2 linked regions of the Lytechinus pictus genome follow. The protein of the gene in region 2 purifies or fractionates together with the protein of the main gene of each other region. This does not show direct contact. Links are inferred from orthologs where the notes say so. Each region holds a gene or a part of one and is shown on either strand. Other genes may lie near its edges.

Region 1 (16,585 bases), on a different chromosome or scaffold from region 2:
TAGAAACAATCACCCAGATCTAATGATGAATAATGTTTGTTAAATGTGTTCTTATTGAATTTTAAGAACCTGTACATGTAATTGTATATATACCGGATTGTGGAATACTTTATGATTTTCTGTGAAGGCTTGCATGTCTCTGGGCAATAGTAGTGAACTTTACTTTTGCGAGCCCTGGCCCATGGAAAGCCATTTTCTTACTCTTCTTTTCTTTCTTTTTTACATACATGTACCGGTATATATATTAAATTATTCATTTTCAAATTGTATTTTTGTCTTTACATTGTACAATTTTTGTATGTTTTTATGGCCAAATAAATAACAATAAAACTGCTGCATTTTCATACATGTATAACTTTTACACTTTTTACAGCACGTTTTACTTGTAGTACGGTAGTTTTACTTTCAGTAATTACATTGGTCTTCAATTAAACAATTAACAGAATAAACTAAGGTCACTTCATAATGGAGCCTTATACTTATAGGTCGATTCATGTATTTATCATGTACATACGCTGTCACTCGGCATCTGGTCGGGCTAGTTTAATTACTGGTCCGACGAGAATGAGAAAATGTGCAATGTGACACTGACAGCATTCGTGTTTGGCAAGGTTGATAAATCTAGTAAGTTAGTAAGTTTATACATTAGGCTGAACTTTAATAGTTAGAGAGACAAGAGGCTAGCTCTCACAACATAGAATTGAGATAAATGAGAGCGAGATTGAAAAATTAAAAATAAAACGTTACGATACATCTATATTTTGACAAATTATTGTTGATTTGATTGATTACTGTACTACCACCAGAGGAGATACTGTACTACGATCGATGAACAGGCACTCAACTCAAGCCTACAGCATCGTGGACTTAAAGTAAAGTAAAGTAAAGATTCAGCTAACTAACAGTAACACTAACACTAACATCCACAGATTTTAGGGTTTTCCGATTTCAGACAAGGAATAAGGAATCTGAAGTAAATTTTTGGAGGTCTTGACATTTCTTTCATACATTCCATGAAAGTCATGAAAATTGACACTACACACAACACACACACACTGCTGGTGGTACAGCAGAAACAGTCAGACCAAATCCAAACGGCTTGTGACACAAGTTTGCATTACAGCGGCGGCTGAACTCGGGGAAGCATACTCACATGTGCACTAAGGCACGTCGAATGGCATCGCGCAGAAATCGTATTTCCATCGCCCAAAATTGGCATCAAGAATGTCATTGTCCATAATGAAAATATTTGTAAAGAAGTTCTGTGTCGCATATTTTCTTGAATTCCTGTTCGTCAAATTGGCCAATCTGGCCTAAAATTCCAGGGATAAATATTCCATTCCAAGTTGATCACAAGCTGACAAGCACTACATGTAGCAACACATCTCGAGATTGGTCTTCGCAGGTTTATAGGCATACAAAAATCGTGTGGTACATTGCAGCGAATCTCACATATACATACACACATCACACGTTACGGAATAAGCCATTGCAGCTAACTCTAATTGAATTGAAACGCCGATACGCTGGCTTCATTCAGCAGGCTTTCTGGCATCTAGCGGTTTACCTTTGGTTTGGATGACTCCATTATAAAATAGGGTCCGTTGTATAGTGTAATTTTTCACTTTTTCTATTTTAACAATAATTTGATGTATATTCGACAAAAAATATAGATAAATAATTACACAATAAGATAAATAAAATTATTTATTGGAGGAATTTGACATTTATTTTCTTTTTTACTCATACGTTGGAAGTATATGCATATAATTTTCCCCTTAAAATGAATCGACTCGTCAAAATAATCGGATTGCGTTTTACGTCCCGACCGAAAAGGTGGAATCCATCGTACGAAGACAGGTGAATAGAACTATCTTTAATCCTCTTTTCTTTTCTAACCACAGAAACTTCTTTCATCGCCGCAGTCCGAAGCACATCCTTTCATATGTTAACCAGAGAATAAACTGGAAATCCACAAAGAATTCCATCGAGCTTTTTTGTGTTCATTTCATTTCGCAATGCAAAGCCAAAGCTCCTTGCATAGATCCTTAAATAATAATGAGTGGAAAAGATGGAATACCGATATGTATCTAAAAAGGATTAGGGTCGGGGGAAAATCGCTTTTTATTTGATACAAGAGATATAACATCGAAGTAAAGTAAAATACTTGGAGATCCAGAGTAAAGGGATAGATCAGAGAAGCAGATATATTTTACAATAATTCGGCAACCTCATAGGTCCTTTGGGGGCCTTCCGGATTGCTTGTCGCCTTTTTACCTGTGTTTTTTAAATCAATATTGATTAATGAAGGAAGTTCAGTTAATTACCGAGAAGCCTATACATCTCAAAGTATAACTGAAATCGAATGACATCTTTCAAATAGAAGAGATTATTGGGTCCTTTTGTGAAGACCGGACAAAATCTTTAATCCGATAAGCAAATACAACACTATAGCACCCTCCCTCCGGATAAAATTATTCCAACCTAGTTGGTATAGCCGAAAAGGCGTGCAAGAAATACACTGGGGGGGGGGGGGGGTGTCCTCATGAGGCCCGTGGCTAAATATTCTCGATTTGAAATATTCATATTTAGATTTCACTCTGTTGTCTCTGCTGAGAAAAAATATATGTTGACTGCCGTGTTAAAAAAAAGGGAAAGAATGTAATACAAATGGTGAAACCGAAGGGGAAAGGGCATTAGACATTAATATAAAAAAATAAAATACATTGCAAGAAAAGAAGAAAGGGGAGGCAGAATAAAGATGGGGGTCGGATGGGGGGGGGGGGTAAAGTATCATAATTTAAAAGATGTATGCCCCACCCCATCACAAATGATATGCCTTTACAAGTACTGATAATGCCAGGTAAAATTCATTTTATAGAACCGAGTATAAAACAAACTACCGAGAAACGCCTTCCCCTCGAGCATTGGTTTATATAGGTCTACACCCTAACAAAATACCAAATCATTTCAATATACAATTTAAAAAAATGTAGCTCAAGTACGATACTAGTCTTTGTTTATTTAATCTATACAATCCATATTAAACTCTTATGCTCTGTCTTATATCATTCATGTACATTACATGTTGGATTTACTCTGCATTCAATATAGGCTGAATATTTTTATATACTATTATGTTCACATTTATTATGTTTGTATATCTTTTGTAAATATGTTTCTATGTTTGTACTCTCATACCCCGAGAGGGGGTCGATAGAGTCAATAAATCTTATCTTATCTTATCCAAATTATTTATAATTGTCAAGAACGAATTGATTAATAAAAGACATAAAGGGAATTATATTCATATATGACAACGTCACCGGCAAACATTTTGATTCTTGAAATTGTACAAATTTTCTTTGAGAAATCAAATTCTTAGCAAGATTAGCGAGATAGGAAGAATACCGAAACATCAGCGATGGCATATAGGGAGTATGTCTCATCGTCCGAATGGCTTCAAAATCTTGTAAATTTTACAACAGCAAATCCCGCTCACATTGTTGCCTAAAGTTTAGGCCTCCCGTGGTTATAGTTCAGAAAATTGTACAAAACCTGGAAGTTCGAGAATATGAATAAATATGAACGTGAATTTTGAAACGTTAATTTGCATATTCAGAGGTGGATCTACGGGGCCGGGGGAGTTAGGGGGTTTAACCCCCCCCCCTTTGGGCTGCCAAGTAATAAAAAGTAATGACCTATATTTTGGAGCCAACCCCCTTTTTTTGCTTGTCAAATTTCTCAGTACCGAAATTACCTTCATTTTGTAGTGAAACCCTTTTTTGCTTGTCAAATATTTAGGACCCCCCCCCCCCCCGCTTAGAAAAAAAGCTAGATGAAATAAATAAAGGAAATAGAAAGATTCCTTGCTGAATTATTTTTTCTTATTCCTTTACGTTTTAGAAGCTGACATTTATGCATGTTTCCGCGAGGGGATGGGGGACGATATCCTCTTCACATCAGGAACAATGTAGGAGACTGTCACCCCGTCACATATGGGGTGGGGTTCAGTCCTACCAAGTGACATGAGGGTAGAGGACGGTTAGAAAAAGAAAATGTATGAAATGGAATGAGATCAAGTTTAATCTATTAAAAAAACAGACGTATGCGAGCAAACGAAGATCAGTGAGATGATACAATAGAATAAATAACACATGAACGGGTTGTTAGGACCCAGTAGGGTATACAGAAGGAAAGGTTAGAGATGACAGTTGTGTATTTGCTGCACTCAACCCAGGTGAAGTATAGAGATGGGGGGGGGAGACAGCCTGAACGCAACAAGGTCACAAAATCTAGAAAATGTTAATGCGCCTCGGAATATATAAAAACGGAGCTATACAATTATCAGTATTCATGTAGCATGAATTAAAAAGAGCAATATTGTATGCTAATTCATATGAATTGATGACATATATAGGAGTAGGATCAATACCTACTGTTTGCTACACCATGTAAAAAATGTCATCTACCCCCACCCCCTTTATACACACTCACATTTGCTATATATTATCTGGCTTTAATGATGTAGTAATTTTTTCTCATTTTATATGAATTTTGTGAGGTGTTACATCTTCTGTTTCTGTTTCTGTGAAGTAACCCCTGTATACATGGTATAGGAACTCGTCCAGGCTTCCCGCCGCATACGTACATGGCTAATAACCTTGTATTTAATTTGAATTACTTTACCTGAACATTGACGGCGCTGTTTATAATAAGGAAATTGAATAAATAATTACTGATTGATAATACGCTGTCGTCTATTGCATTCATCAAAATTATGACTGGCAGGATATCAAATCCTAAAGAATGACGCAAATCCTTAGATGATATACATCAAATCTATTCTGAATAAATTTCCCTTTTGGTTGAAATGATGAGCCATTTATGAGCTCATATGCATGACTGGCAGAACTGATTAGAGCAACCGTTAGAAGTCTTTTACGAGGCCAGTCTTTCTGACGTGTAAACGTCTACATGACATAATGTGAGTTGGAATCACCAGAAATTACTACCAAATCTATAATTGAAATCTTTTTGCAATACAATGCGAGCATTAAAGTATAATGAGAGATATTGTACCCGATGAATGATAACCAGTCTATGCTAAAACTGAATTTCGTGTTTGAAGCTTGAAATGTATTTCTTTTATTTTTAATATGTGAAATTCATTTATTTTATTACGAACATTTCACCTAATTCCCAATCCATGTTTATATCAGTAAATTTTCTAACAATTTTTTCTCAATAAACAGAAATTTGTTTGGATTTGAAATGTGTAAAAATTAGTTCAAATGTATTACGACATTTACCTGAAGAATAGAAATATCGTAAAAAGTATATAAAAAAGATTATTGTAATCATTTTAATGAACTCGAAGAATGAATCGGTAACATATAACAAGTCGCAGTTAGCTAGGGAGCAGTGGCACGGAGTGGAGGGGCGGGGAGGGGGGAACAGTCCGTTCGCTTTTCAGGTAGTGAAAAAAGGGAGACGAAAATTAAAGAAAAAAAAGGAGGAAGAATAGTTTTAATTGGCTAAAACTATAAGCATGTCCCCTTCCTTCCAATGCATGGACTATACCGCCTGATAAAGGCCTAATTTGTTACCATCTTTTCTATATGGTCAAACAAACCAGCCATCTTCATTCCCTTAATAGATTTAGCTTCGGCTTTTATGAGTATAAAAAGCTCAATTAAGAAATACAAGACGTGAAAGCAATCTGTCAACACCGCATTTCATTTTCATTCAAAAGGCAAAAGACAAAACAAAACTTGAAACATCAATTGCAGGATAGTGGGTGGATATTATTAAGTGTCTTGTAATTGATAATTTGCTTTTGGCCAATCAAATATCAGGATTTCGATTAGGCCCTATATACTTGAATAACAGTTTATCACTCACTGATAACAAGCTTCATCTGCTCATGATAGTCAACAACAAGTCATAGATGAGGGATTTGGGTCAGGATATAAAGTGGTCATTACTTTAATGATTCAAAAGAAACAGATTAAGATTTTTAACATCTTAAAAAACAAAACTGATTCGAAAGAAACAATCCCAGGCGTCTGTATATATGTCTGTGTCTGTAGGCCCGCCCCGTTGACGGTTCTAGTCCCACACCGCCCCTAATTTTTTTTTCTTTAATTTTCTTTATGCTCGTCATAAAGGGCCAAAGGGTCAAATAAATTAGAACATTCTTATGTACCCTCAACCATTTATTAAATACCGGATCCCTCCTGTTCTTCAACGCATCCACGATCTCTTCATATTAAATAATTTATACAATAATTAATATTTTCACTTTATACACAATAAAAACGCTGTTTATTTTTTTTTCCATACAACGCTGTTTACTAAAGAACTTTGCAGTAGTTATTTAAAGTTTTTAAAATCTTAAACAACAAAATTATTATTTTTTTTAAAATTTTTAATAAACTAAGCATTGTTGTTTAAACTGTTAAAACTACTGTAAAGTTCAGAGTACTACTGCGTTGCATATAATGTCAAACATCGTTTCAACTTGTTTGAAATTGTAGTTGAATTACTTATCAGGGACCTATATAAGAAATGTTCTATCCATTCCAGGACAGAGAGGGGGTTTTATAACAAAAAGAAAGAAATACACATTCTTCGTGTTTTAAGTTTTGCCGGGGTTCGACTCTTGAAAAAAAAATCATGCCAATTCAAGAAAATTTAATTGCAAAGTTTTATCAATAAATATCACATTCTCAACAAACGTACAGTGTTTGACTTTTTTCGACCATGAACTGAGAATTGTTTTACTTCCAAATGGCGAGCAAGGGCAGTCTTATTGAATTCTTGTTTTTTAGACCTTTCACTAGTACGCCTTTGCTTCCTGGCTGTAATGGAATTATTGTCATGATGGTACTGCATCGGTTAGTTTCGTGCACAATCAGTAGAGCATTTTAGCAATCACTTTGCAGACTCTTTCTAATATACAACACAGATAATCTTTTTATCAAAAGCCCTTCATAACAAAGCAGCCTTTGTCAAAATCGGTGAATCAAAACAGTAGTGTCGTCCTGGACTCTGGATAAACAACATATTTGCAAATTTTCCGATCCGAATCTTAAGACGATGTGCTGTCCCTGTCCACCAACTTTCGACAATGACCTCTAATTTGTCCATTATGATGACGGGCATTTTCAATAGATTTTGAACGTTGCAGAAAGCGTCTGCAAAGTGGATGCTAGTGATTACTTGGCACTCACCCGAAATGAAGACGCATAATTATCAAGAGGGCGCTATCTAATATTTAGAACAGAATGATAAAGAGAGTGTTCAAATGGTTTATTTTTCAATTATCAAAACAAAATAGAAATTAAAAAGTAACAAAATAATGATGTACAATTCACAGAAACAGGTTGGCAATACCTCATTGATATAGATATGAAAAAAATAATCAAAATGATATAGCAGATAAATTGTAAAGAGGGTGAAGTACGGTTAAAGGACAAGTCCACCCCAATAAAAATTTGGTTTGAATAAAAGGAGAAAAATCCAACAAACACAACACTGAAAATTTCATCAAAATCGGTTGTAAAATAAGAAAGTTATGACATTTCAAAGTTTTGCTTAATTTCACAAAACAGTTATATGCACATCCTGGTCGGTATGCAAATGAGCAGACAGATGACGTCACCCACTCACTATTTCTTTTGTATTTTATTATATGAAATATGAAAAATTCGAATTTTCTCCTCATTGTCATGTGGAACAAACTTTTATTCCTCCCTGAACATGTGCAATTACCATTATTTTAACAGTTTGTGGTTGAATCAAGTGGTCCCAATTGTCAAATCTGTAAAAATTGAAATATTGTATAATTCAAACAATAAAAAACAAAAGAAATAGTGAGTGAGTGACATCATCGACTCTCTCATTTGCATATCAATGAGTTGTGCATATAACTGTTTTGTGAAAAATAAGCAAAATTTAAAAATGTCATAACTTTCTTATTTTACATCCGATTTTGATGAAATTTTCAGTGTTATGATCGTTTGATTTTTCTCTATCCATTTAAATCAACAAATTTCTGGGGTGGACTTGACCTTTAAAGAAGCTTGTATCACATTGCATAAAATGTCATGCAGATCAGCGAAGAGCACTAATCTGCATGTAGATCAGCGAACAGAACTAATCTGTATACAGATCAGCGAAGACCACTGATCTATATACAGATCAGCGAACAGAATTAATCTGTGTACAGATCACCAAAGAGCACTGGTCTGTATACAGATCAATGGCGAAGAGGGGGTGAAATTAGTACAAAATTGCCCTGAGCAGTCCTATAGAATGGGCCTCTACTATCTCCCCATCTCACATCCTCTATCTGTCCATTTTGTTTGCAAAAAAAATAACAAAAAATGTAATTTCGTTCATTTTTTTTGTCAATTTAGTCGCTTCAACATCTTCAATTTTCTGGAAATTTTATCAATGTAAAGCCAGTGGAGGGAACGTCCCTATACCATAGACTAACAAATTGAAATTGAACTGAGATGAGGGATGGGTGGGGGTGGGGGGGGGGGGGGGGGAACGGTCGTTCTCAAAATGCGAATGGCTCATGTTGTTTCACGACCCATATAATTTTTTAATTACCCTTTTCTTCTCCCTTCTTCTTTCTATTTTGTTTTCACTAATTTGAAAAATCATATATAGGCGGTCGCTCCCATGTTCTTACTAGTGTCCCTATACACCGCCCTCTTTAGTCGTGCGTAAAGTCATTCGTATATCTTTATGTTCGTATCTTACAAACAGCTTTATGAAACATTCACCTGGAAATGATGTATTAAGCATTGTTTGACATGTAAAATAAGTAATGAAGAGACTACTTATCAGTAAATTAATTATTCTGTGAGCAAAAAGTGCGAGTTGAAATTTTATATTAACCTTAAAAGAACTGGACATTTGACACTCTTTTTATAATCATGAATAGCAGGCTTATCGTACTAAACGATAATTTAAAGCAATCGCGTTCATGAGCTGAAATTGAAATGTTTGGTATATTGGCATGTAAAAGGAAAATTTCAAGGACTGTTTGTAGGAATTCATCGAGACCGTGATACATAGGCCTATCAAAGCTCACTATCAAATGCATGCGTCCCATGCGTAGGCTAAAGGTTAAGCATGCACGAGCTGAAATTTTTAGCAAACAGATCTGAAACGGATCATTGTCCCCCCGCCCCCCTTGTCTGTTGAATAAGTTCGGGGACTTGTCTCTCTAACCCCTGTCCACAAGGGAAGCATGTCGCATTGTAAGAATTTCATTCATCTTTTTGGAAAGCAATCCGTGTTGGACTGACAAGGTGAATCTATCAAATTCACTTGAATGTCTTCAAAAACAGTTATAAACTGACATATTAAAAACGATAACTCATCAAACAACGAAAACACTTGACCATGACCACTGACCACACCCCCGCCACACCCCTCATTCTGGGCCATTATTACCATTGGCGGCAGAAGCCAAAACATTTATGGGGGGACCACCAAAATTTTTGGACAACCAAAAAAAAAAAGGTTATATATCAACCCAAATTTTAGAGGGGGGGGGGGGACCGACAGAATTTTTTGACAAGCAAAAAAAAAAAAAAGAAGGTTATCAGCAAAAATTTTAGGGGGATCGTCCCCCACCTCAAATTTAGGGGGGACCCGGTCCCCCCGCCCCCCCCCCCCGCTTCCGCCCGCTATGCTTATTACCCCCACCTTGTTAACCCCTCTCGAATCTCAGCAATCTGATTTGGAATCTTTCGCAAAGTGACTCCACCCAAATTGTATACATATTGCCAATTTGTTCTTAAATACTTGTTATTTGCATCGTCATTTCTTTACAAAATTCAAGAAAATTATCTTAAAAATAATTTTAATGCTATTTATATTTTTACAGAATAAAAAAATCACAAAATTTTGTACAAAATATTTTTATATCACAAAATAAAGCCTTTCAAAATTTCGTCTTTTGAGGAACAGAAAAGCTGAAGAATACACAAATATTAGTACGTGGGACTTGAGATAAGATATTTTGCACGGAACTCAATACCGCACACTACCTGTTACGTTTGATTGAATTATTTGAAGGATTTCGAATGACATAGAGGTAATTTTAATGATTATGTCGTAATAAGATAATGATTAGTTAATGTAGATTGGGAACAATTTACGAAGGGTGCAATATTTAGCTTCTAAATATAAATTTTATGTATCCTAATTTAACCCGTTTGGCGTTTGTTGACGTTCGTCGTGTTCGTTGATCAATGACTCATTAATTGTTTGGGTTTTTTTTTTTTTTTCATTTGTTGATCCTGTCTTTCTTGAATTATTATAGTGAGATCGAGTTTGGACTCGCCGGTTATTAGGCTACATCGAAAATGTGAAATTGTATCGACAATGATATCCAGATTATCGTCAATCGTCATGATGACAGCCCTATCTTACTTCAATTTCAAACTCAAACTTTAAAGTTCAATCTTACTTAGGCGTAGCCTAGAGGCTAGACTCTAGAGTCTAGTCTAGACTAGTAGAGGACTCGGTGATCATATTTTTTAAATACGATTTTGATATTGTCATTTGATCACTGAGCCTAGACAAGGCCGGCTATCAGCATCAGCAATATACGGAAGAGAAGGTAGTCCTGTAAAGAGTTGGATCACGTGCTACATAGTGAAGATTGGACCAATGAATCAGTAGAGGCGCACGGCCAATATGGGAGACTCTCTCCAATAGGGGAGACAATCTCCCACATTGGAGACTTGCTTTGCAAAAGGATAAAAGAAACAACACCAACAAAAGCATGATTTTTTCCACCCAAAATTTTGTCTCACTGAGGTCAGAAGCCCATTTGTTTTGTGTGTGATTGACAACAAAACAAAAACAAAAGTAGACGGTGAATTTTTAAAATAGATTCAATAGACGGTGAAAAGTGGTAATTTTTCATGAGGAATCTGCTTATCACATTTTTATTTGCCGCCAAGGTAATCCTTTTACAGCAAATGTAAACAAAGGAAATTGGTCTCCAAAACTGGAGACTGTCTCTGAAATTGGATACCCAAATTCTTTACAAAAGTCTCTGATATTGGAGATAATCTCCCACATTGGAGACAGTCTCCAATGTTGGCCGTGCGCCTCTACTGTGAATGTCCAATTGTTCTTTTAAATGTATTTAGACTAGGTCAGGTGCAGTTAGCCAGGAGGCGTCTGGGGAGTAAAAGTCATCTACTCTACGTAGGCTTACTCCCCACTGACGCCTGGGACACCAAGGTATATTCACGCACGTACGGCCACAAAACCTGAAACTTTCGCCCCCGAGATTTCTACTTTCCCTCTAAAAGATCTAGCCCTAAAACATGTACATGGGGTTCAACTTCATTTCCAACATTTCTGCGATATCGATTTCGTTTTTAAAGAAGAATTCATTAAAAAAACGAGAAAAATGGTATGAAAAGATGGGAAGAGCTTACGGCCGTGTTTACGTCGCCATCTTGATTTCTTTGTCTTCCGCTTGGCGACAGCACGCAATCGCGGGATTTGCGTGCTGTCGCCAAGCGGAAGACAAAGAAATCAAGATAGTTGAAATATATTTTTCATTAGTAACCAGGGAATAATTTTTGTATTCACCAGAGTGCTCAAAAACTTAAATTTTGGGCATATTTTTGTGTACGCCCTCTATTGGTGGAAAGTAATATAGTAAGAAAATTTTCATTTTTCAATCTCTATTTTTAATTATGAAAAAATAATTTAAAGAATCAAATTTACTTAAGGGCCAAGTTGTATAACAAATAGGTATAATGGAAACTGTCAGTGTAAAAAAATCAAGCATTTGTCCCAAAGAAAAGGAGAAAATAAGCCAAATATTGCTACCCTTATTTTGCAACACATGGAGATGTAACTGAGAACAAGGTTATATCATAACCTTGTTCATCGAATGAGTGAATTTCTTCATGAGATTCCAATCGTTCGTTGTAACCTGTAATGTAAGCTGCCATTTTGGTTCTGAATATTCATGAAAGTGACGACAGACTTCACTCCTTGACCCTAACGTCACTTACAGTGCCCGGATGTTTCCATGAGTTGAACGTTTGTCGCCTGTGTACGATTTACAAGCAATCCAATGGCCAATGGTTTCAACCCGAAAGTTTTTCCAACGGCCATATGTTTGTGAAATATCATAACACCATCGGATATACTCACTTGTTCACTGCAACCATCCTGCCTGTGGGGAATCTACAGTACAGGTACTATGGCATGCCAATGCTGTACAGAGCACACACTTTAAAACATTAAAATATCACTTTTGTGACCAAAATTACTACCGTAATTTCCATACAGTTGCAATTTATTTTTCATTAGTAACTTGGGAATAATTTTTGTATTCACTAGAGCGCTCAAAAACTTGAATTTTGGGCATATTTTTGTGTACGCCCTCTATTGGTGGAAAGTAATATGGCAAGAAAATTTTCATTTTTTATCTCTATTTGTAATTAAGAAAAAAATAATTCAAAGAATCAAATTTACTTAAGGGCCAAGTTGTATGACAAATAGGTGTAATGGAAACTGTCAGTGTAAAAAAAATCAAGCATTTGTCCCCAAAAAAAGAGAAAATAAGCCAAACATTGTCACCCTTATTTTGCCACACATGGAGATATAAGTGAGAACAAGGTTATATCATAACCTTGTTCATTGAATGAGTGGATATACTGGGACTAGGGAGTTTATGACATGTAATTACATGTATTTAGAATAAAGTGAAAAATCAAAGAACCACGTCGGGGGTTTTTTGTATTGCAAACCCCCTGATGGCGGGTGCATGTTGGCGAGCCGTCTGTGTACGAGGAGAAATAAAAAAATTAAAAATGTTACAAAACTCCTCGAAACAGCTGTCTATGTCACTGTATGAGCATGAAATCAGTGTTTTCACAGGGTGAAAGGGGAAGTTCACCCTGAAGAAAAGTTTGTTGTGAAAATAGCAGAAAATATGATAAAAAATATTGGTGAAGGTTTGATAAAAATCCATTAAACTAAACTATCTAATGATTAAGAAAACTATTAGAGTTTTGGATTTTATAAACGAGCAGCTGCCCATGTTATGTAATAGAAAATGCAAAAATTTCAAGTTTTTAATGGTTTGTGATGACTTATTTTGATTTCTTTTTAGGAATGGGTGTGAAATGATTTGTCCATTTATTGATATAATAAGGGTGCAGTATAAACCATTTTCAATTTCCAGAGAAAATTACATTTCATTGACTTTTTTTACCATTCGATATCATATGTAGTAAAGCTGCTCGCATATGACGTCACAAATCAAAATCAAATAATTTAAATTCTTTGATGGATTTTTCTCAAACCTTCAGCATTATTTAAAAATATTTTTTCAGCTATCTTTACAAAAAACTGTCAGGGTGAACTTCCCCTTTAAGACTATTGGCGTTGATTCGGCAGACTCATAGCCATACGATAAGGGCTACATGTAAGTCTGTTTTGGAGGATTTGAATCAGACTAAAAATCTTGGACTTGTAATTTTTCAGAGTCTTTCCTTGATTTTTTTTTTATAGAAAGAGATAAAACTTGGAAAATCGTTCAAGGCGAGACTCGAGCCTGCGTCAATGATCGTGACTGCAGTGAATTCATAATAGCGCTTCGTTTTACCGATCGCGCAACACCAGATAAGCTGATCGATACGTTGGAAATTATGCTATATCCTGTTCCATGAATATTCATGAGGCGTACTGTAGTCTGACTAAATAAACCCTATTGGGTAGTAAGTCTGCCAAACTGACGCCAATATAGTCTTAACCTTTTTACAGATCCAAAACTAACTTTACAAAACTGAATCCCAAATTTTTCAAAATTCATAGACATTTCCTGGATTGTTCAAGTTTGATTTAAAAAAAAAATCAGACAATAATACAGCGAGCCTAAACTTGGTCTAAGTGACCAAACCCTAGGAATTAAAGCTTTTTTTGTTCACACACTTTAAAAAATAGTAAAATAATTATGGAATGCGAGCACGGAGCGAGAGCAGATAATTTTGAGCTATGTACCAGTACTACCGGTATGAGGCAAACAGTTCTTTAAACATAACATGAATAACTTTGCTACGTTTAATTGTTGTTTTTAATTTCCCAAACCTATCCTGGAACAAGTATTGACCAAATCCTTTGGCCCTTTCATATATTAAATTTCTGATTTAGCATTGAGATTTGGAGAGTAAAATAATATCAGTATCATAGTATAAAGGGGTCTAACATTAAACTTTATGCACCATCCAAAGGAACTCATTTCACAGTGCACTGGCTCTGTGGTGATTTACCCCCCCCCCCAAAAGCGCTAAAATAAAAGATCATTTTTCTGTTTGATATCTGTCTCTTCAATGTTTTTATCTCTTATTGTAGGCCTATTCGTTACTTTTGCTTTTCAGGATAATATTATAGGCCTATCTTAATGTTAGAACTTCTTGTTGCCATATACATGTATTCATCTATTTCCTTTCATATAGTCAACATTTCAAGTTATTTGTCTTTTATTAATCTCTTACCGGTAATTATTTTCATTTTATAAAGTTTTTTTTTAAACTGAGGTTAGATGGGTCCAGCACTCCTGTACACTAGAATCATTGTTTTCCACAATAATTCAATTTTCATCAAATTACCGGTATGGATCCAGGATGTAATAACTGCTGAACTGAGTTCTTGAATTATCAATATCATACAGTCATTTCCACTATTCATGTTTGATTAACTATTTTGTTCTATCTATGATCTTGTAGAGCATTGTGGCCCAGTGGATTAGTCTTCTGACTTTGAAACAGAGGGTCGTAGGTTCGAATCCCAGCCATGGCATAATTTCCTTCAGCAAGAAATTTATCCACATTGTGCTGCACTCAACCCAGGTGAGGTGAATGGGTTCCCGGCAGGATAAATTCCTTGAATGCATGAGCGCTGAAAGGCAGCTTGAGCTAAAGCCGGGGTAATAATAATAAGAATGCGCCTCGGAATAGAATATTTCTAGATAGATGGCGCTATATAAATGCCTATTATTATTATCTACAGGTAAAATGATGATTTGACTGCAGAGGGATTCATGGTTTAAGTTGATTTCCACACCATTCTTCTGGTTGAAGTAGTAGACTGGAAGAACGGCACCAAGATATTCTTTTGGTGAAGTCGCTTGATTCAAGAAAGGAACGTTGAGCTTTGTCAAAGCTTGTGCCACTTGAAAAGGTAAACAATCTCAACCTTACAGTATTATAGTTATGATTTCTATTTTGTTGTATCCAATATGGGATTTCTCATCTTTAATGTGTAACTTATTTTAATGGAGAGTTTTGTTGAGAGTTTAGTTGTGAGAGAGGTTCTTGGTGTCTTTTTTTGTCAGCTGGAATGAATGTGACCATATATTGCTGTTAAATTGGGAAATTCCATAATTCATAATTCATAAATTCATAATTCATAAACAGATGGCTTTTGTGTGAGCAACATTGACTGAGGAAAGGTTAAATATGAAAAACATTGATAAATCTGTATGTATAATACATTTGCTAAATTGTCTTCATACTGTAGATTTCAATTGCCAGATAGGCAGAAATTTCTGGAGTGTTATAATTGTGCAATTTGTTGCCTAGCTATGCAGTCCTGAGTAATCCTGTAGGACCTTGTTTGGTGAATAGGAATGCTATATAAACACAGGTATAAAGTTCTCATTTTTACTTCATCTACTGTTACAGTGGGGAAAGGAAGAGATTGTTGTTTGTCCGCATAGCCTGGTACCACACTAAACCATCACCATTGCGACTGCAAACGGGTCAGCCCGGTCAACGAACAGAATGACCATGGAAGATGAACATGATACATCCACCGTTGAATCCTTCCCTCTTCACATCCTCCTATATCCCATCCTTGATGAGGTAGGTTTACTTTTCCATTGTGATCTCTGTCTTTCAGTGTAGTTTAATAATAATAATAATAATAGGTATTTATATAGCGCCATCTATCTAGAAATATTCTATTCCGAGGCGAACAATAAAAGAAAGAATGAGAAAGTTTGGATGAGTGTCAAAGTGCCAATAAGTAATTCTGTTAGAAAAAATAAGACTTCAGTTAAGATTTGAAGGTCTCCAGTGATGGTATAATTCTTAAATTTAACGGCAAATTATTCCAGAGAGAAGGTGCTGAGTCAGAGAAAGTTCATGCACCATATGCTACACATGTCTTGGGAGTCTTAAGAAGTTGCTGGTGTGATGATCTTAGGCTACGAGTTTAACCTCACTTCCAGCATAAAATCAAACTAAATAGCCCTTACGTTTGGTAAATTAAAATAGACATTTTTCAAAGAATGCAAGGTGAATCCACCTCCCCCTCCCTCTCCCCCTCCCCCCCTTGTTAAACGGCGGGAACAGAACAGGATTTTAGACTGACCAAATTCATTATTAGATTAAATTGAAATAGAAACTCATGTGTGATCTTAAAGGTCAAGTCCACCCCAGTATAATATTGATTTGAATTAATAGAGAAAAATCGAACTAGCGTAACGCTGAAAATTTTATCAAAATCGGATGTAAAATAT
Region 2 (17,129 bases):
TAGAGCCGGATGTAAACTACAAGACTGTATGGTAAATTTTTATTTTTTATTTATTCTTTATATTTTTGATTAATTAATTATGCAAATAAGCGTATGATAAATTTTGTTTTTTGTGTGTGTTTTTGCCTTTAACTCAATTTATATAGCTAGTAGAATGCTAATTTTTGGTTGGACTATCAATTATTACATTTTTAACAAATATCTACAAAAAAATTGCAAAAATATAATTAATTTCTTATGTATTTTATTGTTTTTTTAATTCTTATGTATTTCTTTGTTTTTACAAACCTTTGTTTTTTATTGTTTTTTCCAATGAACTTTGTCGGGGACCCTTATACGATCATAAATAGCATAAAATAAATCCATTTAAACCAACAAAAGTGAAAATAATCATACATCTATGATTTTTTGTTAAAAAACACAATTTGCATTGACTTTGTACACGGAATCACGTTTTTGAGCAATTTCGGGTCTGACATGCACTTACAAAATGTTGCGTAATTTCAGAACCGCGTCCCCGGGCGTCGCAATTTTGGTCTCAAAAGATGTGCAAGATTTGAAAGTAAAAAGTCAGTGAGCGGCGCGATCAAAAAACTTTGCGCGACGGCGTAGTGATGAAATTTGTCGAGTTGAGGGTCAAATTGACCCCCCCCCCCCAGTTTAATAAGGATTGAGTGTTAAGTTTATTGTAAAGTAATTGAATGTAATTAAAAGTAATTGAAATCAATTACATTTTTTTCAATTACAATCCAATTATTTCCCATTCAAAACTTTAATTACAATTACAATTACTAAAAAAAAATGTAAGTAATTATGCAATTGATCAATTACCTTGTAATTGAGCCCAACCCTGGGTGGGGCACACTCTAATATAATACAATTACAGCTATGCAGGATGTATCCATTCTTGGTCACACATAGAGTTCATCCTTGTGCAGTTTTCATCACGAGGGATTTTCACCCTAGTTCATTTGAGAGAATCTGCCAACATCATTTCAACGGAACACCATTCTTATCCATTTCTATGACAGTTGTGTCGTGTATGACCGGCGTGTCTCTATCACTGTCACTCTCGCTCGTATCGTTTTCCTTCTCCCCGTCCTCTTCGTTGCCCTTTTCCCTCTCTCCCAAGTCCTCGCTGCCCTCCCTGCTGTAGGTGGGTGCGTGCCTCGCCTGGGTTGTCCTGGAGATCTGCAGCAGTTCTCGAAGGCCACGGTTCTCCATCTGAAGTCGCGCCAGGGTTTCCTCGACGTCGTAGGAGCTCTGCTCGTCGACGTCGATGGCCCGCTGCATGACGGCAGCCATCTCGATGATCTTCTCAACCGAGGAAACGGCTGGGTCCTGTTAATCAATAGAGGGAGAGTATTCTGTTTAAAGGGAAGAATAAACTTGTTTACCATAGAATGGAACATACTATATCATGTACAGGGTGGAAAGATCCTTAAAAGAATTACAGTATACCAAGGAAATAAAAACATTATTTTGGGTGTAAAACCAGTAAATTCAACTTTTTCAGCAGTAGCTTATCCTGAAGAGAGTGAGGTACTTGATACTAAAACAGCATGTAGGTTCAAGGGTCTGTTACATAAAAACTTTGGCATTGTTGTATCTACCATGGAAACCTTGATTTAGCTCCTGAGCTCTGTTACCATGGTAGTTGTCAAAATTGCAGTTACCAATGGCGATGATCCTGTGATGGTCAATTATATTTATCATTCTGGTAAATCCTGGATCAGTCCGGGGGCCGTTTAATAAAGCTGTTCGTAAGTTAAGAGCGACTTTAAGAACGACTGGCGATCCTTTCTTGCGCGCTAAATAATCGCCAATCATGCAATGGTGTGTACCATTTACTACAAGAAAGGATCACCAGTCGTTCTTAAAGTCGCTCTTAACTTACGAACAGCTTTATGAAACACCCACCCGGACATTTGAAGCGAAACCATACCTGTTCAAACTCCATCGTCTTCTTATTAGCAATCATGTTGTCCCTCTCAGCCTGGTTCGCGTTGACCAGCCTCGAGACCTGGTCCCGGTAGCTGCTCATGATCAGATCCAGGGCCGACTGATGCTCCTCCAGGGCCACCCGCAGCTCCTGGTTCTCCTTCTGCAGCTCCCTGATCTGTCTGTTCTCCTGCTGGATCCCAAGGATCAGGGCGGAGCGGGGCCGGTGGCGTGCGATGTTGTTCATCTCCTCGATCTCCTCTTGGTACTGAAAATAAAAACACAATCATCGCTTTATACATATTATCATTTATCTACTAATATTCTGCATTTATATAGCGCTTAATACATCAGAACGACGTCTCTAAGCGCTTTACAGACATATTATTACCCCGGTCATCGGATCCTTGCATGCCTGCATACAATGTATACACCTTCTCCACTCCCTGCGGAGCATTCCAAGACTCAATAGCTAGGCATACCTACATATAGGCTCTTACATCCTACCGTGTACCCATTTAACACCCGAGTTGAGAGTGGCAAAGTGTGGATAAACGCCTTGCCAAAGGACGCTAGGCCATGGTGGGATTCGAACACACGACCCTCTGATTACAAGGCGAGAGTCAGAACCGCTACAACACGACGCTTCCATTACACTACATTGTAGCTTACATGTAGTTCAGTAGACTCAGCTCAAGTCAACCTTTCATATTGAACCAATCACAGATATCAAATCATTTCTTTTTTTCAGAACAGAATATGCAAGATAATACGCGATAGCTCAGTCGGTAGAGCGGGGGTTCCGGATTCCGGTGACCCGGTTTCGATTCCCAAGTGGTGCACTAGTGCCCTTTGGTAAGGCATTTATCCTCATTACCAGGTCCCTCCGAGAGGACCTTAAGCCGTTGGTCCCCTGGTTGCTTGCTCACAGGCATTCGTGCTTTCTGAGCAGTCAGGTAAAAAACCTTGGTATGTCTAACACGTAGCATTTTTTTTAAAAGCATTATTACCCGGCTTCAATCACACATACCTGTAAAAAATCTTTAACATGAACAATTTAATGACCCTCCAACTCAAAACCCACAGTAAAATGACCAAAATGAATTTTGAGATTTTCAGTAAGTCTGAAACTGCAGATCCTAAGCCTTTAATAATTCATATAACTTTAACCCTATCAATAATAATCATAACACAAACAAGTACTTCATCGAATTGAGATGTATTTGGTGAGAGTATCATGAGAGAAAAAGTTTTGGAAGTTTAGAATCCATTCATGTGTGCATAGTGAATGTGGAAACTCGGTGAAATTTCCAATTAGTGTGCAAAATGTCTTTAGTATCTCTCTTTGTATTCAAAGTTTACCACTTCAAATTTTGACAATGCCGGTATAAGATGAATAAATACTCTTTTATATGGAGACCAAATAACTATCTTATACCCCTTTCATAAACCTATCTTCCAATTAGCCGCCTAATAGTAATGCGGATAATTCAATAAAAATTGCGTTCACAAACTCCGAAAATTATCGGCATTATTTTTACGAGCGCCCGTCCTGAAAAAGGCGGATAATCGTCATGACAACTGGACACGCCCCCTCAGATGCGATGTGTTGGAAAAGGGTGACCTTGTGACCGCACCATGGCAATTATCCGCATTATTTGGAAATACGTTCATAAACTCAAAATCTTGTCCCGATGCTGCTATTATGCGGATAATTGCAGCATTAAAAAAATGCGGATAACTCTGGTCCTCCTCCGATTTTACGACCAAATTATGCTGCTGTTAGCCGCATAATTGGGTTTATGAAAGGGGTATAAGCTAATTACACTGAGCCCTACACAGTGACTTGTCATAGTTTTTCAGGTGGAGGGTGAGACATTTTAATACCTCTTTCATGACTTCAATTTTCTTGTTCAGAGTTGTAGTTTCTTGAATAAGATGATCAGCAGCACTGTCGTGTTCTTTCAACCTTTCAACCAGCCTTCTTGCATCACACAGTACTTGATCAATGGACAATGTCATCATGCTACGATCTAGGAGGTGACACAAGATAATTTGACGTTAAAATTTTGCAAAAATTTAAAATAGCTTAATAAACTAAGGGCAGGATAATCGTCGTTACTTTGCCTTTGTCATTTAGTCAAGTTAGAGGTATGGGCAGAGCCAACACTACGAGGGTCACATATCTGAAGACTAATACCTTGGTCACATTTGTTCTACGGCGGCCGTACGGCGAGTCGAAAACAGCCGTTTTATTCATTTTAATTCAAACCACCTACATGTATATGTCGTTGGTACAACAAATGTTAAAACAGCTGTTTTCGACTCGCCGTACGGCCGCCGTAGAACAAATGTGACCAAGGTATCGACTATTAACCCTAAAAGGACTGTCGTGTTCTTTCAACCTTCTAAATGCCTTCTTGCACCAATGGACATCATGGTCATCATGCTGTGATCTGAGGGCGATACAAGGCAATACTCGACATTAAATTCACAGTTCAACAAAACTATCATTGTCGCTCTTAGAAGGGTTACATGAACATGCAGATCTACACATCCGGGTCCCGTCTAACAAACAGTTGCGATTAATCCGATCAACCACAACCATGGAACGCCAGCAACATCAACATCTAAAATAATTCGTTTGTAAAAAAAAAAAAAATCTGATAATTTCGATGAATATTCATACATTCATCATTGTTGATTCAGTGTGCTCTTCTTTGTCTACAAAACGACATTGTGAAAGATTCCTGTTCGACCTGTTGGAAAAATTATGATATCGATGGATTTCCATATAACAGTAGTCGAGGTTTATCTGGGCCCAATCTTTACAAAGAGTTACGATTGATCCAATCAATCGTAAGTCTATTGGAATCCATCAGTGTCATATTTTTTCTACCTATAGGAAATCTATAAAATGTCCTTGGTAACGACGGCAAACACACCTAATTGTCAAGAAATCAATGAATTTTAATATTGAAAATGCATCATTTCTAGAAATATTTTTGAACAGTAGTTGAGTTTGATCAGATCTATCGCAAATCTTTGTAAGACGGGGCCCATCGCAACTCTTTGTAAGTGTGTACATTGTATACCTACGCTCCGTACTGTAGTTAGTTTAAGTCATTGATCACAAATTTTGACACGAAAATGTAGATCCCTTAGATTAAAGCTAAATGACAGTAGTTGCAGTAAAATACTGATTTCGTGAGAAAGTCTGTAAAACCAAGGTTAAGTATTACTATATCATCGTGGATCTAGATCTGGTACAGTTACATAAACTGAACTTTGTGAAATCATGATATCTAAGCTAAAAAACTATCACACTGAAGATCGCCAACACAGATCAGTAGAGGCGCACGGCCAATATTGGAGACTGTCTCCAATGTGGGAGATTATCTCCAATATCAGAGACTTTTGTAAAGAATCTAGGTATCCAATTTCAGAGACAGTCTCCAGTTTTGGAGTCCAATTTCCTTTGTTTACATTTGCTGCAAAAGGATTAACTTGGCGGCAAATAAAAATGTGATAAGCAGATTCCTCATGAAAAATTACCCCTTTTCACCGTCTACTTTAAAAATTCACCGTCTACTTTTGTTTTGATAAGGATTTTTGTTGTCAATCACACACAAAACAAATGGGCTTCTGACCTCAGTGAGACAAAATTTTGGGTGGAAAAAATCATGCTTTTGTTGGTGTTGTTTCTTTTGTCCTTTTGCAAAGCAAGTCTCCAATGTGGGAGATTGTCTCCCTTATTGGAGAGAGTCTCCCATATTGGCCGTGCGCCTCTACTGCAGATAGGCACACGTGTGACAGTGTATTAATATTATTGCTGGAATAAAGACCTAACGGAAGTGACAGAATCCGCGCTTATTTTGCTTATTTCTCAGCAAGCACACAATTTCTTCCAGAATCCTTTGGCACATATTTTTTATTCATACAGACATTTTGGTGATCATTATATTAATTTCTGTAAAAAGTCATTTTGAGATCATCCCCACAACTGGAATTTATCTTTAACATCGGCCTGACTGTGTGAAGTCAGTTTGGTCTTTGGATTAATTCTGATTCTTGAAGTCTTCCAATATTGGAAGTCTCAGCCTCAGGCTGCTGAACTTCTGAATTTGGTAGAGTAATATTAGGATTCATACTATCAGAATTAGATTTTTCAAATGCAAAATACTGTACATGCACTAGTATTCAACCCGGCAGTATTCAACCCATTTAAACTTAAAGAACTTCCCCAAATATTCAAAAATAGGGAATTTATCTTAATTTCAGATTTTTCACGAGAGGATAAAGACAGTTTACTAGTGAGATTTATTTCGTCAAAATCATCACTGATGAAATAAATCTCATTGGCAATCTCTCTTTTTATCTACTCTTCAAAGTGGGAACCACCTAAGAAAATTTTCCTGAATTATAGTTTATACGTGACTATACATGCGATCCCGGCATGCGATGTGCCTCAGCTCCGCCTCCTCCGCCCCATTCGATATACCGGTGAAAAGCCAAGGTGTCTCGACCCGCGAGGCGCGGCGTGTAACTAGCCGTAGGCGTAGCGTACCGTACTACTACTACCGGTACTACGTCTACGGTACCTACCGCGCCGGTACTACTACTAGCGTAGCCGGCTGTCGTCACTCGATTAGCAATATGAATTACAAATTTAGGAATATACAAGTGAACAAGATGTCAATGAAATTCATTCAGAAAAAACGAGAGATACTCACAATTCTTTTACCTGCTTTGGGAAAAAGAAAGGAAAGGCATAAAATGCAAAACAAATCCTGTCACTTCCGACTTCAATTTTGGCTTATCTCTCTGATCTTGGCATGCAGTTCACCGGAGATGGCGCTGTTCGTGAATTCGCGACGCGACATCGACATGGTTCCGTGGCTTGGCCGAGCTCGTAGCGTTCCATCCATCATGAAGTCGGTCCGGGATTCGATACCATAAGTTCATAAGTTCATTTTATTTGTCTTCCAACTTTGAGTTTGAATACATGACAAACATATAAGTGTGTATGAAACAATGAGCAGAGTACATGATAAAACATACAGGTATATATAAAACAGAGTATGCAGAAAACATTGTTTTTAAATACATTATACAGCTTAAGACAGAAAAGAAATAATTTTAAAGGAAGACGAGGAGACCTAAGTGAAGCAATGCTTGTAAATTAAGGTTCCTCATTACGAATTCAAAGAACATTGGATAAACAACAAAGAAATGGCAATATAATATAATATGATAACTAAAGAGAGAGGCGGGGAGAGAAGAGGAACACATTTATGTACAAAAGGGAGTACACAAAAGGGGACATATAAGGACAGAGACCAGCCAGGCCCGGGAAAGGGGGGGGGGGGGTGATTATACTGATTATATTGATTATACTTACTTAACATCCCCCCTTTCCCGGAAAAACACGGATGCCCGTGTTCAACTTGATTCATTAACATTGCTCTATAAAGGTATAGATATACAATAAATTGATAAAAGTGCTGCATAATCTATTATGTTTCTGGGAAAAGTATACACTTATCATGTAGTTCTTGACTTTGAAATGTGAATAAAATCTGTTTCAGGTGCATCTTTTTTTTTTTTTTATGGATATGCAAGGCTACTAATACCAACCAATTGGTCCATCAACCGATTAATCACTCACTCAGACAATCAATCATTAAAAAATGTTATTAGTTAATCAATGTCACTGAACTGATACACCAATCAACAGATAAATCATGACTTAATAAAACAAAACAAGTAGCCTAAACCTTTGATCAATCAGGCTAGTTAATCAATCCATCTATCAAATCAGCCAATGAAGCCACTAATCAACCATTCAGACACTATGATCAATCAATCATTCGTTCAATTCATCAATCAGTCAACCAACCAATCGGTCAATCAACCAATCAATCAACCGACAAACAAATCAATCAATTAACCAACCAACTGACAAACAAGCAAATCAATCAATCAACCAACCAACCAACTGAAACACAAACAAACAAATCAATCAATCAACCAACCAATCAATAAATCAACCAACCAACTGACAAACAAACATAATAAATCAATAAATCAACCAACCAATCTACTGACAAACCAATCAACCAACCAATCAATAAATCAATCAATCAACCAACCAATCAATAAATCAATCAATCAATCCATATATCCATCAATCCATCCACTCATCTATCAATCAATCAACCAACCAATCAATCAACAACTAATCATTCAATCTATATATCAATCAATCAGTTTTCACTTTTTGGTTTGGGCCGGAGCTCATAAAAAACATATACTTCTTTAAAACAGTCAATTAAACTTGACAAAAAAGCTTTTAATTTGAGATGCATTCCCTTTTCTCTCTAAATAAAGTACCGTGAATACAAAATCCATAAAAAGTGCACTTATTTTCTTCAATTTACCATGATTCAGTATTTTTCATGAGCAATATACTACAAGGTAATAATACTCACTGTAACAACAATCGATAATAATGAAAGTACTAAAAATAGAAATTAGAGAAATAATGATAATGATAATAATAAAAGTGACAATTACAGTAACAATGTTATATTGATGATATCATATATTATCTTTATATATAAAAATAATGACTATCAAATCACCATCATTATCATTTATAATACTAGAAGAAAAGAAAAATAAAAAAAACCTTCAAAACAGTTTAGAAGTATCCTAATTCATTATGTATTTCATTTTGTAATTTCTAACTCGTATCAAACTCTGGGTAAAAACTCCTTTTTTGACTTAAGATTACTTTAACCAGTTCAGCTCAAAACAGATCCTTGTTAGATCAAATTTATCTAAAATTGAGTTGCCCAGCTAATACACCCCCCCCCAAAAAAAAAAAATTAATTAATCAAATAAAATAAATAAATAAATACAAAATAAGAAAAGGGATATACACTAAGTACTTAATGCAAGGCTTGCAAAATGCACCTTTCTGGCAAGTTAGTAAGAAAGCATCCTAATATTATGCAAAATAAATAAGACTTTAGAACAGAACTTGAAAAGACGAAACTAGTGCACAAACATGTACAGAAAAAAATCGCAGGCAGAGTTGATGAACAGTTAAAAGTAAAAATATGAGATGTTAGCGAATCCAGGGTTCACAAAGATTCACGATTAATCTTACTCATGATTTTCACGATTAATTGTTTGGTAGTGGATCGTATTACCGAACACTTTTCATGAATTCAATCATATCAAACACATTACTCTCATAAAATTCACCAAACTTCCACCATAAATACACAATTACCTACAAAATATAAATATGTAAAAATTTTGCCAAAATCGTTTGTCCCTTTTATGATATAAGCTTCCAATCGGACCCCTCTTCGCATGTTAAATATTTTGGTCACTTGAAAAAGGTATCGTATTACCGAACGTGTGTTTTCTATGGGAAAAGTTGTGAAAAAAACAAAATCACTGATGAGCTATTTTGAACATATTTTATTATTTTTAGAATATTAAGACTTTGAAAATGTGTTTTTGACAATTTTTCATCATCTTTCTATTCAAGTTCCCTTTGAAAGGATGTTACAAAATTTTGAGCTAATGAAATTATTTTCTGACGCGTACGATGTGCGCGTTCGGTAATACAAGGCCGGTCGGTAATACAATCACTCACTATACATGTAATCAATGCAATCAACGGTAAAAAAAAAAAGTTCTACGATGATTGCTATTGTTGTGTTACAGGCCTCAGAAGAAATAGCATAGGCCTACTTTGTGCCAGAAAAAAAAAGGAGATAGATTATCAAAATACAATGTAGGGAGAAAAAAAAAAACTAATTAGTGGCAGATACGAGTAAATATGTGCAGCATAAATGGATATTGGATTTTAAAAAAAGGTTAAAGCCTCTCTGGAAATTAGTGAAAATTATATATTGGGCTACGTGGCAAGTAGACCAACTAGACCAATTAGACGAAACTGGTTGTAGACCAAGATTACACCAAGTTGGATCCGACCAAAGGGGACGTAAATAGAGCTGGCGTAGACTTAATTGAAAATTACTGTTCTGTCTGCCATATTGGGGAATTTTATCATTATGAACACAAACTGCAGATTTTATGTCCATGATAAGATTGCAAAATAGCCTACCGTTGACATGCTAACTGAAAAATATCATTCTTTAGCTCCTTAAGAAAGAAAAATACATGCGGTGCTAGAATTACTTCTGGCGCAGTCACATTTTGTCTACTATGGCCGTACAGTGAGTCAAAAACGGCCTTTTACAATTTTTGTACCAGCTTCATGTATGTGGTTCGAATAGAAATCCGCAAAACACCCGTTTCCTACTCATCATGCGGACACGATACGGGAAATGTGACTGCAGAGGTAATGACCTATAAATAGGACTGCTATACCATTGAAATCAATAACATGATCAACATATTTACCTAAAATACATACAGAATAACATTTCATGGTAAAGAGAAATCAGTACGATATATTATCAGTTTTCCACTATGAAAATACATATAAAATAAATATTTAACCTTCTATAAAGCAGGTACTGCAGATTTAGTACAAATGTTGTCAAATATATACATAATTAGATACCTAGCTTTAAAAACATCATTGATATTTTTTTTTTTAAAGATGGAATATATACAACCATTTTCTCTGGAGAAGACATACTTTGGAAAGACATTTGTGTTTTTGGAATACATTAAGAGGAATGGAATACATGGAGTTATGCAATGCATTTGCTACAATGCTTACGAATATATCTGGTAAAAAAACAGATTTTCTATAAAAAATAAGGCATGTTTGATCAAGTTCCATGACATTTGCTCTGTGACAATTGCCCCGTCACACATGACAAAGCTAAACATAAAACCTGGGCCCCATTTCATAAAAAGTTGCTATGATAGCAACTCTTGCTGGAAAGTCAACTTTCATTGGAAGAGCCAATCAGGAAGCAGAAGTTCTACTGTTGTCATGGTAAATGATATCCCAGCAAGAGTTGCGATCATATCAACTGTTTATCAAATGGGGCCCTGATCTTCAAAAATACACACCTTAATATTAACCTTCATATCAGTCAGAACCAGAACCTTATATATCGTCAGAGATATTAGCAGACGAGAAACTGTCGCAGCAGAAAATTTTGTATTTTTTATCATTACACTCAGTGTGCTCAAAACTTAGTGAGCCCTACCAGAAATTGAACAAATTTAAAATGTTTAAGTTCTGCCATGTTTTACATGGAGCGTTGTGGCCCAGTGGCTAAGTCTTGAAAACAGAGGGTCGTGGGTTCAAATCCCAACCATGGCGTAGTTTCCTTCAGCAAAGTATTCATCCACATTGTGCTGCACTCAAGTCAACCCAGGTGAAGTGAATGGGTACCTGGCAGGAATTTATTCCTTGAAATGCATGTGTGCTGTCATCTTAGTAATTACGGCTGCCAAGCTACAGCTGGGGTAATAATATCCAATTCCTTTGGAAGCGCATAGAGACTTTATTCATGTGATATGTGCTATACAAGAACTGTATATTATTATTATTACTACATACTAAATTGTGAAGTCAGACGATAAAGTATTCCACTCAATAAAGTTTGTTTCTCTTGGCTCGCCGAACATTGTAATATTGTTGCCTACAATCAACCCTCAGCATGAAGGAGTGTATTTTGTGGTGGGGTTCACTAACTTTTGAGCACAACTGTATCATTATATTTAAGTCCACAGTTATCTGAAATGCAAATTCTGCATTCTTTGGTAGTTTAAAATCCAAATTTTGTGTTCTTCAGCGTTATGTACAATAAATATATTACAACGCACTTGTACTACAATGAAAAACCTTACAAACACTGATTTTTCAATAATACATCAGTTCGAACACTGCAGTATGCATTAAAGCAAATTAACACTGCAAACAGGTTTGATCAGTAGATTTTCCACTGATTCATGGTTGTGTTTTCTTGGATTTGCCCTAATTTCATTATTTTTACTGAATTTCATCAGAATTCAACTTCACTAGTCTGAATACTTATACACATGTATTTTCCACAAAACAAAATTGTCAAAGCATTCGAATTGATATCTGATTGCATAGATCATCTTCCTTGCTACCGTCACAAAAGAAACATTAGAATAAAATCTTTCTCTAGAAGAAAGCAATATTCTATAATGACAACTCCCATATGATTTTGCTAAAAATCACCTCATACCTGATTCAAAGTTTATGCATAAAATCATGATTTGTGCAATTTATACATGTGTGCAAATAAAAATGATGTCATGTATAAGAATCAAAACAAATTATAGTTAGGTGGCACAATCTGGCTATTAAAAAAACATACAGTACATGTATTCATTTACATGTTTTTATAATTGCTGGATAACAGAACTTTCTCATTTTACAGTTAAAAGAGTTCCTATTTCATGAAAGTTGAGTAAGTTTGTTGGGTCAAACCATTCAATAAACCACTTTTGTCAATCTATATGAGTTTATTGAGATACTTTGTTACATCAGCATCCAGTATCGCTGTGTGCATGGGTAGCTGTGATGAGATCTGGGGGTCGTTTCATAAAGCTGGTCGTAAGTTAAAGATAAATTCCAGTTGTGGGAACGATCTCAAAATGACTTTTTACAAAATTTAATATAATGATCACCAAAGTGTCTGTTTGTAAATAAAAAATATGTGCCAAAGGATTCTGGAAGAAATTGTGTAATTGCTGAGTAATAAGCAAAACAAGCGCAGATTCGGTCACTTCCATCGGGTCTTTATTCCAGCAATAATAATACACTGTCCCACGTATGCCTATCTGTGTTGGCGATCTTCAGTGTGATCGTTTTTAGCTAGATATTATGATTTCACAAAGTTCAGTTTATGTAACTGTACCAGATCTAGATCCACGATGATATATCAATACTTTACCTTGGTTTTACAGACTTTCTCACGAAATCAGTGTTTTACTGCAACTGCGTTCATTTAGCTTTAAGAGTGACTTCAAGAATGACTGGTGATCATTTCTTGTGGTAAATGATATTTACCATTAAATGTTCATTGGTGATTATTTAGCGAGTAAGAAAGATTCACCAGTCGTTCTTAAAGTGGCTCTTAACTTACAAACAGCTTTATGAAAGACCTACCTGGGGCCCATCTTACAAAGGGTTATGATGGATTCAAATCTGAAGTTGGAAGCATTATTTTACAAGTAAAATTGATGTGAAAAGTGAAATTTTGACAATTGCATTGTATACCTGCTCATGTTTGGATATCAAGCACAATAAAAACTTGAAAAAGTGCTTGAAATATTTTATGTTGTTGTGTCATATCACAGCCATGGCACTATTAGACATTGCATACACTATTACATTTGCTATACTAAACATATAGTTAGTAACTATCTGGCCCTAATTAACGAAGTACTCCTTTCCCGCCTACATGTAGGTTTAGTGGTTTGCATCAAGATTATTTTATCTAAATTCTAAAGCTTTCATGTGCTAGTAAGTACTGATAGAATTGGAATGCCCTCTGAAGACGTAATGAATTTCAGCAATCATAAGAATATGGGCCACATTTGTTCTTGAAGGAAGACTATACTTATTGAATATTATATGTGGATCATTGTGGCCCAGTGGATTAATCTTCTGACTTTGAAACAGAGGGTCGTGGGTTAGAATCCTAGCCATGGTGTAATTTTCTTCAGCAAGAAATTTATCCACATTGTGCTGCACTCAACCCAGGTGAGGTGAATGGGTACCTGGCAGGATTAGTTCCTTGAATGCATGAGCCCTGAAAGGCAGCTCGAGCTAAAGCCAGGGTAATAATAATAATAACATCGCGCCTCGGAATATAATATTTTAGATAGATGGCGCTATATAAATGCCTGTTATTATTATTGTCATTAATTGGTTCTGGACTGTATTATGTATTGACTGAATTTGTACAATCTTCCTGCAAAGTACATGTACAGCTGTAAGCTTTGGTGAAAATCAGCTATTATAAGGGAATAAGGGCCACAATGGTACATGAAGGAAGACAATTCTGCCCTTTGGAGGAAGACTAATCGTGTTCCTTGACGGAGGAGTAGACGCCACACCCACAGCAGTATTTACTTCCTCTGTGAAGCTTGAAGAACAGGATCAATATGAACCAGACCAGCAGGATCTACAGGGACAAGCAGAAAGAACCATCATGAATCATACAACAAATGATGCACAGCTGAGAGTGTGTGCTGAGCACTACTGCCATGCAGCACACCTGATGGTATCTCTGGTTGGGCCACAAGCATAAGGTGGTAGCCCAGAGTGCTTGTGCACATCATTATGAATACGTGCGATGCCTACATTTCCATTAAAATCGCCAACTTAACCAGCGCATTATTTGATTTATAAAATAATTGCCAGCATGAATTCTTATTGAACAATTGTTAAAAATGGTGAAGCTCCAAATGTCCATGGCTCACAAACTAGGACTCTACTGTCTATGACATTTTAAAAGCCTATTGCCACTGTGGTATTTCATACAACCTGCATGCTTCAAGTTGACCCAAACCAAGACCCTTATTTTATATTATGGTTTAATTCAAACTCTGGTCTAAGATATTTTGTAAGTATGGATAGCCAATTGTAACAAATTTCTAACAGTGCAGGTTTAATTTATCAGCTAATTTGACACTGGAATCAATTATAAATGTCTGACATAGATCACTTAATATAGATAGGGTTAATATTGGTTGTTCATAGCTTTATAACTAGAAGAGTTTCACAAACCTGTATGATGACAAAGACGATACAGACCACTCCAATCAAAAGCAACCAATCCTCTAGCGTCATGAGTATGTAATCCTGACAACCCTGTAGAATAGTACATCAAAATATGAAAATAGGTGATTTCAAGTCCGGTGTTGGCCTTGGTGTTGGTGTTAGTGTTGACATTTGGATTGCTTCCCCTAGCTCCAAAACTAATTCAGATTTGGGAAAACTTATCCAGATCACATGATTGACATCTCAACAACTAGTGAGTGACTTTTCGGGACCATCTTCATGTTATTTTTGGTGTTATAATCGTGTAAAAACTGAGCTAACACCAACACCAAAAGGTCAACACTGAACTTGAAATCACCCAATTTTAATACATAAAACCTCCATGTGTCAATGTTGTTTTTCATTCAATTTTCTGTCCGTCCATACACCAGAGTACCGAAGTGATGACGTCACAAAAACTCTTTTTTTATACCATATTCTGGTAGAGCATGATGAAAAACCCCACTTCCAAAATTTGGTGAGAATCGGTCCATGGGGGCCTTAGATACATGTATGACCTCATGAATTCAGGTTGAAAGGGTTAATATAAGATCAATCCTTTCAAAATGAAAACACAAATAATTTTTAGCTGTAATCGATGATGCTATGAGATTGCTTTCATACCTCCATGTAGTAGCTAGTACAAGCGCCATCAGGACCGTTACAGCACGATCCGGGCACTTCGCCCGGCGGGAATCCCCCAGTAATCTCCCAGTCAGTAGGTGCGTTCACACCGCAGCATTCAACCTGTTCAGGAACGATGAAAGGAACATGACTTTTAATAATCAGCATCTACCCTGCATGTATTATAGCGACCTTTAAAAAGTCCATGGTGTATTTGTTAGCAGCAATCCCGCTCAGCACCTTTCAAAGAAAGGGAATTCTCAGAAAATCTTCTTTTTTGATATTTTTATACTGATGGCTTCATTTGAGACATAAAAGACAGATACTAGAGTGGATATTTCATTAGATGAAAACCTACCTCTTGTTGCAGACTGTCCATGCAGTTTTCATCTCAGAATGATTCTCGTCTTGATAGTGAAATAGCCCTTGTTTCACGCTTAAAGTCATATATTTTGTGATTGATTGGATCAATCACAACTATGTTAAAACTTACCTCTTGTTGCAGACTGTCCCAACTGCCAAAAAGTTTTCATCTCTGAATGATTCTGATCTTTACAATAAAATGGCCCTTGTTTCATGCTCCCAGCCACATACATGTATTGTAGTTGTGATTGATTGGATCAATCGCAACTCTGCGAAAACTTACCTCTTGTTGCAGACTGTCCCATGCAGCTTTCATCTCCGAATGATTCTCGTCTTGATAGTAAAATAGCCCTCGTTTCATACTCGCGGTCACATAGCTTGTCATGTCATCGTGCATATGAAGCCCGGCAAAGGCGATGATGATAGCGGACACCTCCAAACAGATCACCACCACAACCATGAAGTAAAACTGAAAGAAAATTAAGATACAAATGACAAGTCCTTTATTAGGGTCATTGAATAAGCTTGTCTGTTATGTTCTATGTTTTTGTCTTTTGTTTTTTTAATACTTTTTTACTTTTGCTTTTAAATGCTGTTGTTTTGTTCTACCAGTCTACTGATTTGGTTTGATTTTGAGATCTTTGTTTTCAATCTCAAAAGTTGATTGGAAGATATTTGTTTTATTATCAGTAATGAATATAAAAAGGGAGTAGCCTAGATGGACCAATGGCTTTTTGTTACTCCCTCACATCCCATTCACTATATGTTTTTTATTGTTATTTGTTTGCCTAAATTGTACAACTGTCATTGTTGTTTTTACTCTAAATTGCATTAACTCACTATGTATTGTATGTACCCTGTCTTTGTTAAGAGATGTGAAATAAATGAATTTGAATTTGAATGTTTCTATTATTGACCCACTTTGGATAATATTTGAATCATTAATTTATCAATTTCTTTCTTCAATTCATCACCATTGCTGTTGTTATCGCTGTCATTATCAGCATCAATTATCACCATCTTCATCATCACCATCAATTTTCATTATCATTATGATTATAATAATGATAAAATATAGATTGTAGTAATAATAATATTAACATGCGCCTCAGAATAGAATTTTTCTAGATAGATGGCGCTATATAAATGCCTATTATCATTATTATTAATGTTATTACTCCTATCATTATAACTAATATCAATATTATGGACATTGAGACCTATGTAAGGTGTAATGCGCTATATAAAAACTGTTCTATTATTAGCTATTATCAATATTACCCTTTTTAACACTATTGATTCACTATGTATTTCATCATTATCAAATATATTTGTCTGGTAATTACTTAAGTGCTGTGGATCATTCACATGTTGGACACTATTGTAAAAAAGGAAC

The links.
Region 1: the proteins of FGFR1 oncogene partner 2 homolog (region 2) and programmed cell death protein 10-like purify together in Homo sapiens (affinity purification with mass spectrometry; 3 studies listed by BioGRID and IntAct, counting the BioPlex papers as one, with this or other methods). This does not show direct contact. The link is inferred for Lytechinus pictus from reciprocal best matches to the Homo sapiens genes FGFR1OP2 and PDCD10.

What each region holds. Positions count from the first base shown.
Region 1 is NC_087260.1:24,493,099-24,509,683, forward strand, and holds the start of programmed cell death protein 10-like, read left to right. Parts: upstream 1-10,026; 5' UTR 10,027-10,120; intron 10,121-15,072; 5' UTR 15,073-15,243; intron 15,244-15,746; 5' UTR 15,747-15,845; coding exon 15,846-15,926; intron 15,927-16,585. UniProt on the Homo sapiens protein: Promotes cell proliferation. Modulates apoptotic pathways. Increases mitogen-activated protein kinase activity and STK26 activity. Important for cell migration, and for normal structure and assembly of the Golgi complex.
Region 2 is NC_087253.1:9,974,412-9,991,540, forward strand, and holds the start of FGFR1 oncogene partner 2 homolog, read right to left. Parts: upstream 6,798-17,129; 5' UTR 6,675-6,797; intron 3,975-6,674; 5' UTR 3,967-3,974; coding exon 3,829-3,966; intron 2,210-3,828; coding exon 1,946-2,209; intron 1,342-1,945; coding exon 991-1,341; 3' UTR 1-990. Other genes in the region: tetraspanin-9-like, read right to left, coding at 14,004-14,108, 14,714-14,797, 15,371-15,493, 16,017-16,202. UniProt on the Homo sapiens protein: May be involved in wound healing pathway.